Linked DNA regions of Astyanax mexicanus. The protein of the gene in region 1 interacts with the protein of each later gene in a pairwise test. Links are inferred from orthologs where the notes say so. Each region holds a gene or a part of one and is shown in the gene's direction. Other genes may lie near its edges. The genes, in order: retreg3, abhd16a and map1lc3a.

What was found.
Region 2: the proteins of retreg3 (region 1) and abhd16a interact in binary tests that used the Homo sapiens proteins (3 or more experiments, as listed by UniProt). The link is inferred for Astyanax mexicanus from reciprocal best matches to the Homo sapiens genes RETREG3 and ABHD16A.
Region 3: the proteins of retreg3 (region 1) and map1lc3a interact in binary tests that used the Homo sapiens proteins (3 or more experiments, as listed by UniProt). The link is inferred for Astyanax mexicanus from reciprocal best matches to the Homo sapiens genes RETREG3 and MAP1LC3A.

Annotation. Positions count from the first base shown.
Region 1 is NC_064426.1:23,157,058-23,160,815, forward strand, and holds the start of retreg3 (reticulophagy regulator 3), read left to right. Parts: upstream 1-861; 5' UTR 862-1,419; coding exon 1,420-1,661; intron 1,662-3,758. UniProt on the Homo sapiens protein: Endoplasmic reticulum (ER)-anchored autophagy regulator which exists in an inactive state under basal conditions but is activated following cellular stress.
Region 2 is NC_064413.1:5,137,150-5,140,907, reverse strand, and holds the start of abhd16a (phosphatidylserine lipase ABHD16A), read left to right. Parts: upstream 1-932; 5' UTR 933-971; coding exon 972-1,073; intron 1,074-1,547; coding exon 1,548-1,604; intron 1,605-2,908; coding exon 2,909-2,975; intron 2,976-3,758. UniProt on the Homo sapiens protein: Phosphatidylserine (PS) lipase that mediates the hydrolysis of phosphatidylserine to generate lysophosphatidylserine (LPS). LPS constitutes a class of signaling lipids that regulates immunological and neurological processes.
Region 3 is NC_064431.1:33,920,428-33,924,185, reverse strand, and holds the start of map1lc3a (microtubule-associated proteins 1A/1B light chain 3A), read left to right. Parts: upstream 1-1,375; 5' UTR 1,376-1,502; coding exon 1,503-1,542; intron 1,543-3,758. UniProt on the Homo sapiens protein: Ubiquitin-like modifier involved in formation of autophagosomal vacuoles (autophagosomes). While LC3s are involved in elongation of the phagophore membrane, the GABARAP/GATE-16 subfamily is essential for a later stage in autophagosome maturation.

The DNA of each region.
Region 1 (3,758 bases):
TCTCAAAATATTGAGATAGCAGTTTACTTAATAATAATAAAAAAACATTTTGCTGGATTATTTATTTTTTTTAGGTGGCGGGAATGGGCTTCCATACTCATCAGGGCAAGTTAAACATTACATAATTTTTTTCCCTCAAACCTTGACTACCTATATAAGCTAGCTAATTCCAATGTTAATCTATCTCACTAGACACCAGCTGCATTTTATTAAACACACAGTAGGTTTGTTCTGTGTGTTTTGATTCGTATCTTTTTAACCAGCTATCAGAAACAATCTAATCACAGTTTACATGGTTTGCTCCGTTACCTTCCTCTTAGAAAAATCGTTGTATATCCATATTAGTTTTAAACATGAGCTGCTGCTGCTGCAACACGCTGCCTAAAGTCACAGGAAGGTGGGACCCACTCACACTCTCACCCGTAAAACCAGCAAGCTGATTGGATGTTTCTACTGAAGGCGGTACTTTATCCTTCTGCCGACTCCATCATTGGCGTTAAGACGTTTCACATTTACATAGCAGTCAGTGGCCTGGCTTCCAATTAATACTTAATCATTAATTTATAATTTTTTCAAATATAAATATGTACAGGAATATACTTGAAGACGGCGGTATGTTTCCAGGTCAAACGGGTATGACACACATACACTTACAAAAAAAAAAAAAAGACCAAAGGACACTTTTGGCAGTAGGAGCCAAACGGGCATGTGCTCCAACCACCTCCGCCCCCCCCTCCCCCCCTACGTTCATTGAACTCATCACAATGAAAGCACCGTTCCCTCTCAATGATAGTATCTCCGCCACCAGATTTGCGGGTGAATCACTGATTCACAGATCACACAGCAGTTACCCTGCCCGCCTGCACGGTCGCTGCTGAGCTCAACTACTGAACTAAGAAAGGAACGAATCAGCTGAGGGAGTGATTCTATTCAGTAAATGAGTCTTTCCAGTCAAATGATTCGTTCGCAAACGACACAACACTACTGTAGACGTTAATCCTGCTCTTTCATTGGCTGCAGCTGTAGCCCGTCCTCCTTCTCCGTCCCTTCGGCTGGAAGACAAACAACAACTGTCAGAGAAATGGAGAAATGACGGCGGAAAAATAAGACATTACCCTCTGCACATGGAGTTTACAGCCGCTTCTTTTAAAACAGACTGAATTCAGGGAGATATTTAAGCTCAAATGTTCAGAGGAATCGAGACAGCGTTTCACCCAGTTGAGCTGTAGCTACTGTAGGCTTAGCTCTGAGCTAAGCTAGCTACGCTAAGCAGCGCTAACAGCTAGCTAACTACCAAGTTAACGTTGGAGAGAGTTTTATCTATATTTATTCATTTTTTTATGTATAAGGACCCCACCCTTTGTTTACATTATTAGTATCATTATTTTTGGCGTAGTTCTTGAACGTAGCTAGCCAACTATGGCGCAGAACAGTGGAGCTGGGGATGCTAGCGGGGCCACAGGAAAGCGCTGCCCAAGTTCGGGCCTCCGGAGTCGGCATCGGTCGGGAGAGAGGGACGGTCAGGTTCGGGCTGTGAAAGCCATGCTGCTGGAGAGACTGGGACCGTATGAGCGGCTGGTGACCTACATGCAGGCGGTGCTGGTGTGGGAGAGACCTTTCCACAGTGTGCTGTTCCACACTTTGGTCAACGTTGTGTTCTGGTGAGTTTTAGCTAACCTATTAATACAGTAACACTGAGTTAGTTGACCAGGTATGTTTGTTACCTAAATAACTAGCTAGGCTAACTTATTTACCCATGTTGTTAATATTATGGTCACTATAGATACAAATGTATGTTAGCTAACTTACACACTGGGTATGTTATTTTGTGTATAACTATTAAACTAGTTGTGTATATCTAGTAAATTAGCTCTTTGAAGCTCGTCCATTACCAGTTTAATGTCAATAAATGGAAAAATATCTACATGTAAGCTTACGTTATCTGGCTAGCTAACAGTGTAGCTACTGTGTTAGCTAGCTAGCTAGCATCGCTGTCAACGTGTAGGTTCAGAAACGCTTCTAGCTAAACAGTGATCGTCGATACCAGAGGTGGCCAATTAAAATTAAAGGACTAATCAGGTGTGACTATTTTGGAGAGCCGGTGTTCTGTCGAGTTATGCTACCTTGTCAAACCGTGCTACCCTAATGTATATATATAACTTTAAAAATACAAAAGAAGCACCATATTAGAGCATGTTATCAGTACAAATTTAAGTAGATTTAAGTAGAAAATTTTTGGAGTGCTTAAATCATGGTAAAGTTATGGATGTGAGGGGTCATATCAAACTAATTTTATATATTTTTTATTGTATTTATTATTACTATTATTGATTTTCATTAGCAATTATATGCAATAACAGTGAGTGCAGGTTGTATAACGCACAAAAAAAAATAGAGAAAAAAGATTTATTATAAAAAAAAAAGTCAGCACATACCCAGTGCCTTTAGGAAGCATGGATCAATGGGTAGCATAACTAAGACAACACTAGACTGTTTGGTTTAGGGCTGGACCATATGGAAAAAATCTATATTGTGATATTTTTCTTAATTTCAAAGGATACTTTGTACAGTTCCAATATTGATGTAAACAGTATAAAATGTTCTATCATGCACTGAGAGAGCTCAAAAGCTTGGTCAAATATCTCAATATTTAAAGATATTTTCACTTTGATATAGGAATTATATTAGTGTCTGCCAATGTTTTATTTTCTTTTGCCAATATTTCAAGCTAATACTTTGCACCGATGTATTTATTGTATGCTGGAAAAGGACTAAGTGACTTCAATTAGACAACACTAGCTTTGCTAATTTAAAATCCATTGATTTTAAAATTAAACTAGTTTTAAATATTTTTTTCTAGTTTTTAAGTTATAGGGCCCTATTTTACATCCTGTGCAAGATGTGTCCAGTGCTCATTGCTATGTTTCACCCTGCACCTTTGTCATTAAATAGTAAAGATGCTTGCGAATATATCTATGCTGATGACGTGGTGTATTGCCACTGACTTATTAACACTGAAAACCATGTCCATACCTTTCATACCTTTCATGGTAAGACAATGCACGTACACCACCAGACCACCAGACTTTCCCCATGGGTGAGATGTTGGTCATTAAAAGAGAATGTAAAAATTGTATTATTCATAATGCAATTTTGACACAATAATAATAATAACACAGATTCACATTATGTCAAAAAAAGTGGCAGGGAAACCTGAACATTTAACTGTTTCTTTAAGGTCATGGTCACTATAAATACAAGTGTATGTTTCATAGGTTAGATTCTGGATAAATAGCTTTTTGAAGCACGTTCATGCCCGTTTATAATGAACTTTTGGCACAGTGAAAATAACAACTGTCTGAGTCACATTATGGATGAGCTTTGGAACCAAACACAAGACCCCAAACAGATAGAAACCATCTAAAGTGAACATTGCTTCAGGAAAACATGTATCCATAGGTGGTTGAACTGCCTTGTTTATCCTCTTTGCTGATGGCATGTTCTACTTAACTGTCTAATTTGGCACATCTCACCATTAACATTTTTACCCTCCCTTGATTTATCTGTTAGCATGAGTGTGTGAATGTGTCTGCTTTTCAGCTTCTGTGTTAAAGAGACAGATGGCACCTATATTTAGGCCAGCAGTAAAGGTTCAAGTGAGCTGCTGGAAAAGTAAGAGGCTGCTGGAAGGCTGAGGCATCAGTTCAGCTGGTTTGAAAAGACCAATGGAATACTGCAGTTTTAATTTTCCATGTATT
Region 2 (3,758 bases), on another chromosome or scaffold:
ATTTTCAAATGTATTTTATAAATACTTTACAAATATATATATATTTTTATTTTTATTTTCTTTTTTTTTTCTAATGCATTTCACACATATAGTGATTCATGCACATATATTAATTTCTGCCTACAAACATTTGACAAATAAGTTGAAATACGAAGAATAAAAGAGATAACTATTGTGAAAACACCTCAAAGTTATTTTAAAGATAATAAAATGTCTAAAATAACTTTTAAGCATCTAAAAAAATTATCTTAAAATAATGAGAATTTTTCCAAAGAGAAGGCTTCTTAAAAGCAAATAAGCATCATTGCATTATTGCACTGCCACTTATCTGCATCTGCACTTATCTGCATCCTTAATGTGTGTGTGTGTGTGTTTGACTTTTTTCAAAATTATGAAACTATTATTGCCTCAAATATTGCAATTTGTGTATGTACTAGATTTTTTTTTACATTAAAAGCATTAAAAGCATAAATGATCAAACTGCAGTGTTTGTAGCTCAAAAAAGGTGATCACTAGTTTGAAATGTTGCTGAACGCTTAATTTTCCATGTTTTTCAAATGGGGAATATTAATAATAATAATGAAAGACTTAGATTATAATGCATAAGCATTATAATGTGTTAAAAAACAATTTATGCAGCTATCACCTTAAATATTGCACATTGCTTATGTAGTGGATTAATTAATTTTTTTTTACATTTAAAATAACTTTTTAAAAAACATTGTTTGTCCTTATATAAAATTGTCAGAAATAAGATGTTAATTTTTTACAGATGTTTAAACAGGAGTTTAATAAGGTATAGCCTCTTACCACCTGCAGTATTTGTGCATATATATTAATATATAGCATATATAACTGTAGAATTGAATAGAATTTAATGTACACATCACAGTTTTATATTTACAGTTTTGAATGTTTTGAATTAGCTCAGTTCACCCACTCCGGCTTCCGTAGCCGTCGACCGAGGAAGGATGGCCGGCTGGTTGTGGTTCCGCTGCCTGTTCGGGCCCAGCCTGCACCGGATCCACCGCCCGCTCGAGCAGCCCCGACCTGAGGGAAGAGCCGGGAGGCGGGTACGAGCTGATCCCCTTCTTAACAGCCCGCAAAACGGGCTAAAACTCGGGGTTTGGGCTCGTTAAGAGCCGCTAGGGAAGTGCAGGGCTTTGAGTTGACAGGCTAACCTTAGCTAGCACTGTAGTTAGCTAACTAGCTAATGTCAGTCTGTCAGAATAACTGTAAATGTACACAAATTAATCACTGAAATTAGGTTTTGAGAGTCTTAACTATCAGTTAGGATTATAAAAGGGAAATCTGAGACCTCTCTGATAGCTGTAGTTTATGTTTTAGATAGATTTTCAGCATATTCCCAAGTCTTATTTTTAATCTCGCGTTCCACCTTAAATGCTCCTGCTGTAGCGTTATCATCCTGAGGCGCCAGAATGTAACAAGAGTGCCATTTAAGGTGGAACGGATAGTTCGAGTAATAGGGGAAAGTGGCTGTTTTGCTGTTTTTATTCTGTGCATTAAAATCACTGTCACCTTTACAGGGTTGGGATTATCAGCCGAAAACTTTGGAAAGACACACAGACAGTATCCTCGGTTGGGTAAGTCCTTTCTTACTTACTCTTAAAATCTTAAAGCTTTACCCTCCATGGCTTTAATTGTATTTTTTGAAAGATTGAGAGCCCCTGTGGATATATACAATTAATATAACCAAAATGTTTGTTTTGACTTTTAATAATCTTTTTTTAACTTTTGATAATATTGTTTTGACTTTTGATAATTGGATGTTTTAGAGCAAGGAAGCATAAAACACTGTTTATTAAGTTTACAACAAGAATCTAGTAAGACTATAAGCTGCCATATATATATATATATATATATATATATATATATATATATATATATATATATATATATATATATATATGACCCACTTGTACATCTCATTGTGTTAGATGTAGACATGCCATGTAACATTATATAAAAAAAAAAATAAATAAAACAAAAGCATAAAATTAAAGTACAGTATGGTGTAATAACCAAACTATACTGGTTTCTTTTGGTATATTGGGACTAGGGGTGGGCGATATGGCTCTAAATTAATATCACAATATTTCATGGTATTTTCACGATAACAGTACTTTTGGCGATATGACAAAACATTGAATTAGAAAAAATATTTAGAATTGTATTATTGCATGCAATATGGTATGGCTAACTGAGATATTAAAAATAAAAAAAAATCACATTTGTAACAATGTCATAATACTAGTAAGGCACTTTGAATATCTTCATATATCCAGGATTTAAGTAAAATAAATTATACTAGACAGATATAATCTGTCTCTAGTAGATATATAATGGGAAATGAGAACAGTGTGAATTTTTCTTTTGCTAAAAATGGCAAAAAAGTAGTACTCTGACGCGATAATTTGGGGGTAAGTGATATGGCATGATATTTCAGGGTATAATATCGTTGACGATATTTAAAATTTTTTGGCAATATTATCACGTACGATACGATATGGCACACCCCTAATTAGTACAGTCATGAAAGAGCTGAAAAACTCATGGAATTTCAAAATAGAAATTTTCAGGCCTGGATATGTTTCGGAATGTGTTTTGGAATGTATGTTTAAAATGTAAGAAGTAAAAGAGTTCACATAATTGTGTGAGGAGTAGAAGTAGAAGTAAAAAGTCGTCTAAAGAATAATTACTCCAGTAAAGCATAGATAACCAACATTTCTACTTAAGTAAGGTAATTAACTGTTTTTACTTGGTTAATTGATACCTCTGTTCAATTCTGATATGATTTCAGATCAGATTTGTTTATTAAAAATGTTCCAAAATTAACAGTGTGCTTCTATCACTTATATGTTAATGTTTTTTTTTTTTGTCCCTTCAGGCCTCAGCACTGTGGTCCCTGTCTTATTACAGCTCTCCTCTCATCCTCTGCTATCTGTACAGGAAAGGTAAACACTACTAACAGCTACTAGTATAGCAGTAATCCAGCTCAAGTTAACAAGCTAGTTAATATAGGCTAGGCTAATATAGCTAACAACTAGAAGTGAGCAACGTGATGATGATGATACTAAGGCTGCTACTGAGGCTTATTTTAGTAGGCGACAAATCTACCAATTATTGTTTCGATTCGTTAATTAGTCATAATTATTTTTGCCATGCGCTACATTGTGGTTCGTAGTCTGGAGGATTATGTTCCAATGCATGTTTTACAGCATCTTTACAGCTAAACCTTTTGAGTCCTAGACAGATTTTGCAGGACATAGTAATAGTTTATGAGGAACCCTTACTGTTCCAGTTACCCAGGGTGATATTAGCTAGGGGTTTGTACCATGTAGCTTGTTTTAACCTGGTAAACACGCAGGCTACAGTCCGATATACTCAACTCTGAACGGCGAAAGAGCTAGCGCTTAATGAGCAAGTTCTTAGGCTAATGCTGCTCCAGCAGTGTTTACCGGGGTTAGCAGCAGGCTACAGGCTGAGAATACTGACCCCTGAATGGTGAAAGAGCTACTGCTTAGCGTGGTTAGCGGCTAATGCTAATACTGCTCCAGTCTCGGTGCTGGAGAAACTTCACTGAAACTCCTGTGAAACATTGTACTTCTGCAGAGTGGCTTTACTGCTCCTTTTAACCTGACTGGATTTAAAGGCGCACTGACGATTTTTGAGAAAATTAAAGGATTTTAAGTGCGCCTTATAGTGCAAAAAATACAGTAATTTCTTATATTGTGAGG
Region 3 (3,758 bases), on another chromosome or scaffold:
CGTTACTTGTTCATGCTGGAGTTATCGTTAATTTACAAGTAAAGTGGATTAACACGGCTAACGTGCATTACCCATTAGTTTAATAGGATGTAAAATGCAGTAAAGCCTGTATGAATTGTGTCTTGCGGCTGAAGGAAGAAGGACAATTGTGGCCAATGTAACTGAAACTCATTAAGATGGATTGCACAGGGTCCATTTAAAAGAGTAATTAACTGACTTCCAACAGTGTAAGATGTATTACCAGGAAGCAACAAATAAATAATCTACCAAAACATGAAATTTATAACTTTATGTGCTATGTTTATGTGGGAATAACACAGAACTTACATGTACCAGAACATTTAACAGGACTTTTACCAGATTTAAAAAAATCTGTGATGGTGTTGGTATTTAACACATATACACTATTGCATATTGTAAAAATACAATATTGTATACAAATGTAGTTTTATTAGATTTTTATTTTACATTTACGTTTATTTGTATTTTTATATATATATATATTTTATTGGGCAGTTTCATATTTTTGACACGGCTGCTTTTATTTTGTATCCTCCTGAAAAAAAAAAGCAGGACTGTGCTGCCACAGCTGGTTCATGCAGAGACTGGCTACTTCCGGTCATCTCCTTTATAGCAGAAAGCATCTACTAAAAAAACGCTAGAGGAAGCACGTGAGGGAGTCTTTAATGAATGAGGGTAAAAGGAGCTAAACGGCTAAATACTCAAATTAGAACTAGGAGAGAAAGTATGTGAACAGACTTTTACAAGCTTGCTTGGAAAAGTGCAAGTTCTACCAGGAAGGCAGAAGCTGGTGATTGATTAAGATACGAGTGACTAGCACAGGAGTTTTCGGCTAGAACTAACACTGAAGCTTACAGTACAACAAGTATACAGATTATCACGTTTCTAGCTAAAAATAACTGTTTCTTTTAGAGTAGTTTACATTTCTGACAAAAGTTTACAGACACTTTTGAATGGATTTCAATTGGGAAATGTCTGATGCCTCTCTGCTTACCGCTCTCTTAAAAAGGGGTGAAATTTTGTTAATGAATAAGTGTTAAGTCTCGGCTTGAAAAAGCATGCTAATAACGTAAAAAAAAAAGAAGTTTATAAACAGCTAAAAAACTGCAAAAGTAAATCTATCTGCTGCCTCTCCCCCTTGCTTTTCCAAGCCAATTTTTAAAGCTCAGATCTGATTGGCATAAATCTAGATTTGGCACGTTCACACAGCCATGAAAAAAATTTGATTGGAGTCACTTCAAACTGGTAATGTGAACGTATCTATCCATCCATCCATCCATCAATCCGAACCCATTCTGGAGTGGGAGTTCTCGGCTGTTCAGGCTCTTTGGCGCTGTTCCCTTTAAAACTCCGTGGCGTTCTGCGCATGTCTTTATCGCCTCTGGCTCGGAGTTGCTGACGAGGATCAGAACAATAATAAAAACAGAGAGGAATAAAACTACAGATTATTATTGTTATTTTATTCATCTTAAACTACAATTATGCCTTCTGATAGACCTTTCAAACAGCGGCGGAGCTTCGGTGAGTTTATATATAAGCGGGTAGAAGCTGTTTAATGTGTTTTAATGTTTATCAGACTGTGTTGTTTTGGTTAGTCTGATAATCTGAACAGTGAGAGATTTAACCGTTACGTTAATAAACATAAAGCCAATGATAGTTATAATGTTGTAACTAACGTTACTAAATAATATACATGGCTAGCCTATTAACGTCTCAAGTTTCAGCCGGTGTGTTTATATCTACTTTTAGTACTTACTTGTTTTATCTAAAATAGAGTCTCTACGGTTTAGTTTAGCTCATGTCCTATTATATAATATAACGTTACAGCTCTGGAAGCAATGAAGAGAGCACTTCAGTTTCTGAATCAGTTTCTCTGATTTTGCTATTTATAGCTTTATGTTTGAGTAAAATGAACATTGTTGTTTTATTCTATAAACTACAGACAACATTATTATCATTATTGTCATTTATAACATTTATTATGTATTGCAAAAAAAGGGAAATGGCAGTACAAATAATGCAAAGAAAACTAGTTCATATTCATAAAGCTTAATTCACAGTTTTAATTTCATGCATCTTGGAATCATGTTCTCCTCCTCCACCAGTCTTACACACTGCTTTTGGATAACTTTATACTGCTTTACTCCTGGTGCAAAAAAATATTCAAGCAGTTCAGTTTGGTGGTTTGATGGCTTGTGATCATCCATCTTTCTCTTGATTATATTCCAGAGGTTAATTTGGTAAAATCAAAGAAACTCATAATTTTTTAAGTGGTCTCTTGTTTTTTTTTTTTTTTTTTAGAGCTGTATTTGCAGAAGAAAAACTCTATGTATATTTTGGCCAGCCATAATTCTCCTTATTATGGGTCACGTTAAAGCACATTGCAGGGAAATAAATGTAATTTATTTAGGAATTTGGGAGAAATGTTGTCTGTAGTTTATAGAATAAAACAACAATGTTCATTTTACTCAAACATAAACCAATAAATAGCGATTTTTACAGAGCTGTATGTGCAAACATACCGATAATTTATCAATACTAAGGGAGATAGCGTTATAACAGTATGGTTAAAAAATCTAGAAAGACATTAAGCTATCCCCAGTACACAGAGGAGACGAAAATGTGCGTATTATAGAGTTATATTGTCCACTGTAGCATAAAAATAGAAGTTATTAAAGTTATTAAAACCTGGTGGCTAGAGGCCTTTTAGCTTAGCCAAGCTAACGTTAGCTTTTAACCTGACAAACTAGCTAACCTAGCTAGCAAGATAAGCCAAGTTTTGCTGTTTTAGCTAACTTAAAGTGAACAAACGTGTTGTCTGACTTAATTTAGTCTCATAAATGTCTTTATTTTTAGTATCTGGTCTTCAGTATCGTGCATTTTACGCGATGAATCCGCTGAGGCCCTTATTTACTTTACCTCAACACGTAGCTATAGCGTTAGCTTAGCATTAGCTTAGCATTAACTTGCCCAAAACGGCACTTTACTGTTTTTATTGAGCTGTAGGTTAAAGCTATATTAGAACTAACCTTTATATGTGTGTTTTAGGATAACTTAATTAGTTAACTACATGATAAATTATTATTTAAGCTTTTAGCGAACTAAATTGATCCTAAATACCTGATTTCTTAAGGGGGACCCAGTGCACTAAGTAGGTTAGCTAGATAAAAATATAACCTATGTTAGGTTAGGTGCTTAAACTTAATCCTAAAAAGTCTATTTAAATGATTTCATTACTTTTTAGAGCACTATATAGAGAGTAAACCCCTCTATTTCATGCCTTGTATATTTCTTTACATTAATAATTAATCCTAACCCTAAATAGGGCTCTACATTTAGAGTAAATACTTCTATTTTAAGGCCAATGTAGAGCTCTTTAAACAGAATAAATACCTCTAATTTATCCCTATATATTTCTTTACGTTATGAATTAATCTCTCTATTTCTTGCTCAATATAGAACACTATATACAGAATAAACTTCTCATGCCTTATATATTTCTTTACATTAGGAGTAAATTCCTCTATTTCATGTCCTATGTTGAGCGCTATATATTGAGTACATATTTAAATTGTATGTCCTAAATAGTGCTCAACATTAAGAGTAAATACCTCTGTTTTATGCCCTATGTAGGGCACTATATACAAAGTAAACACCTCTATTTATATGTCTTTACATTTAGAGTAAATACCTCCATTTCATGCCCAAATGTGGGGCACTATATACAGAGTAAACAC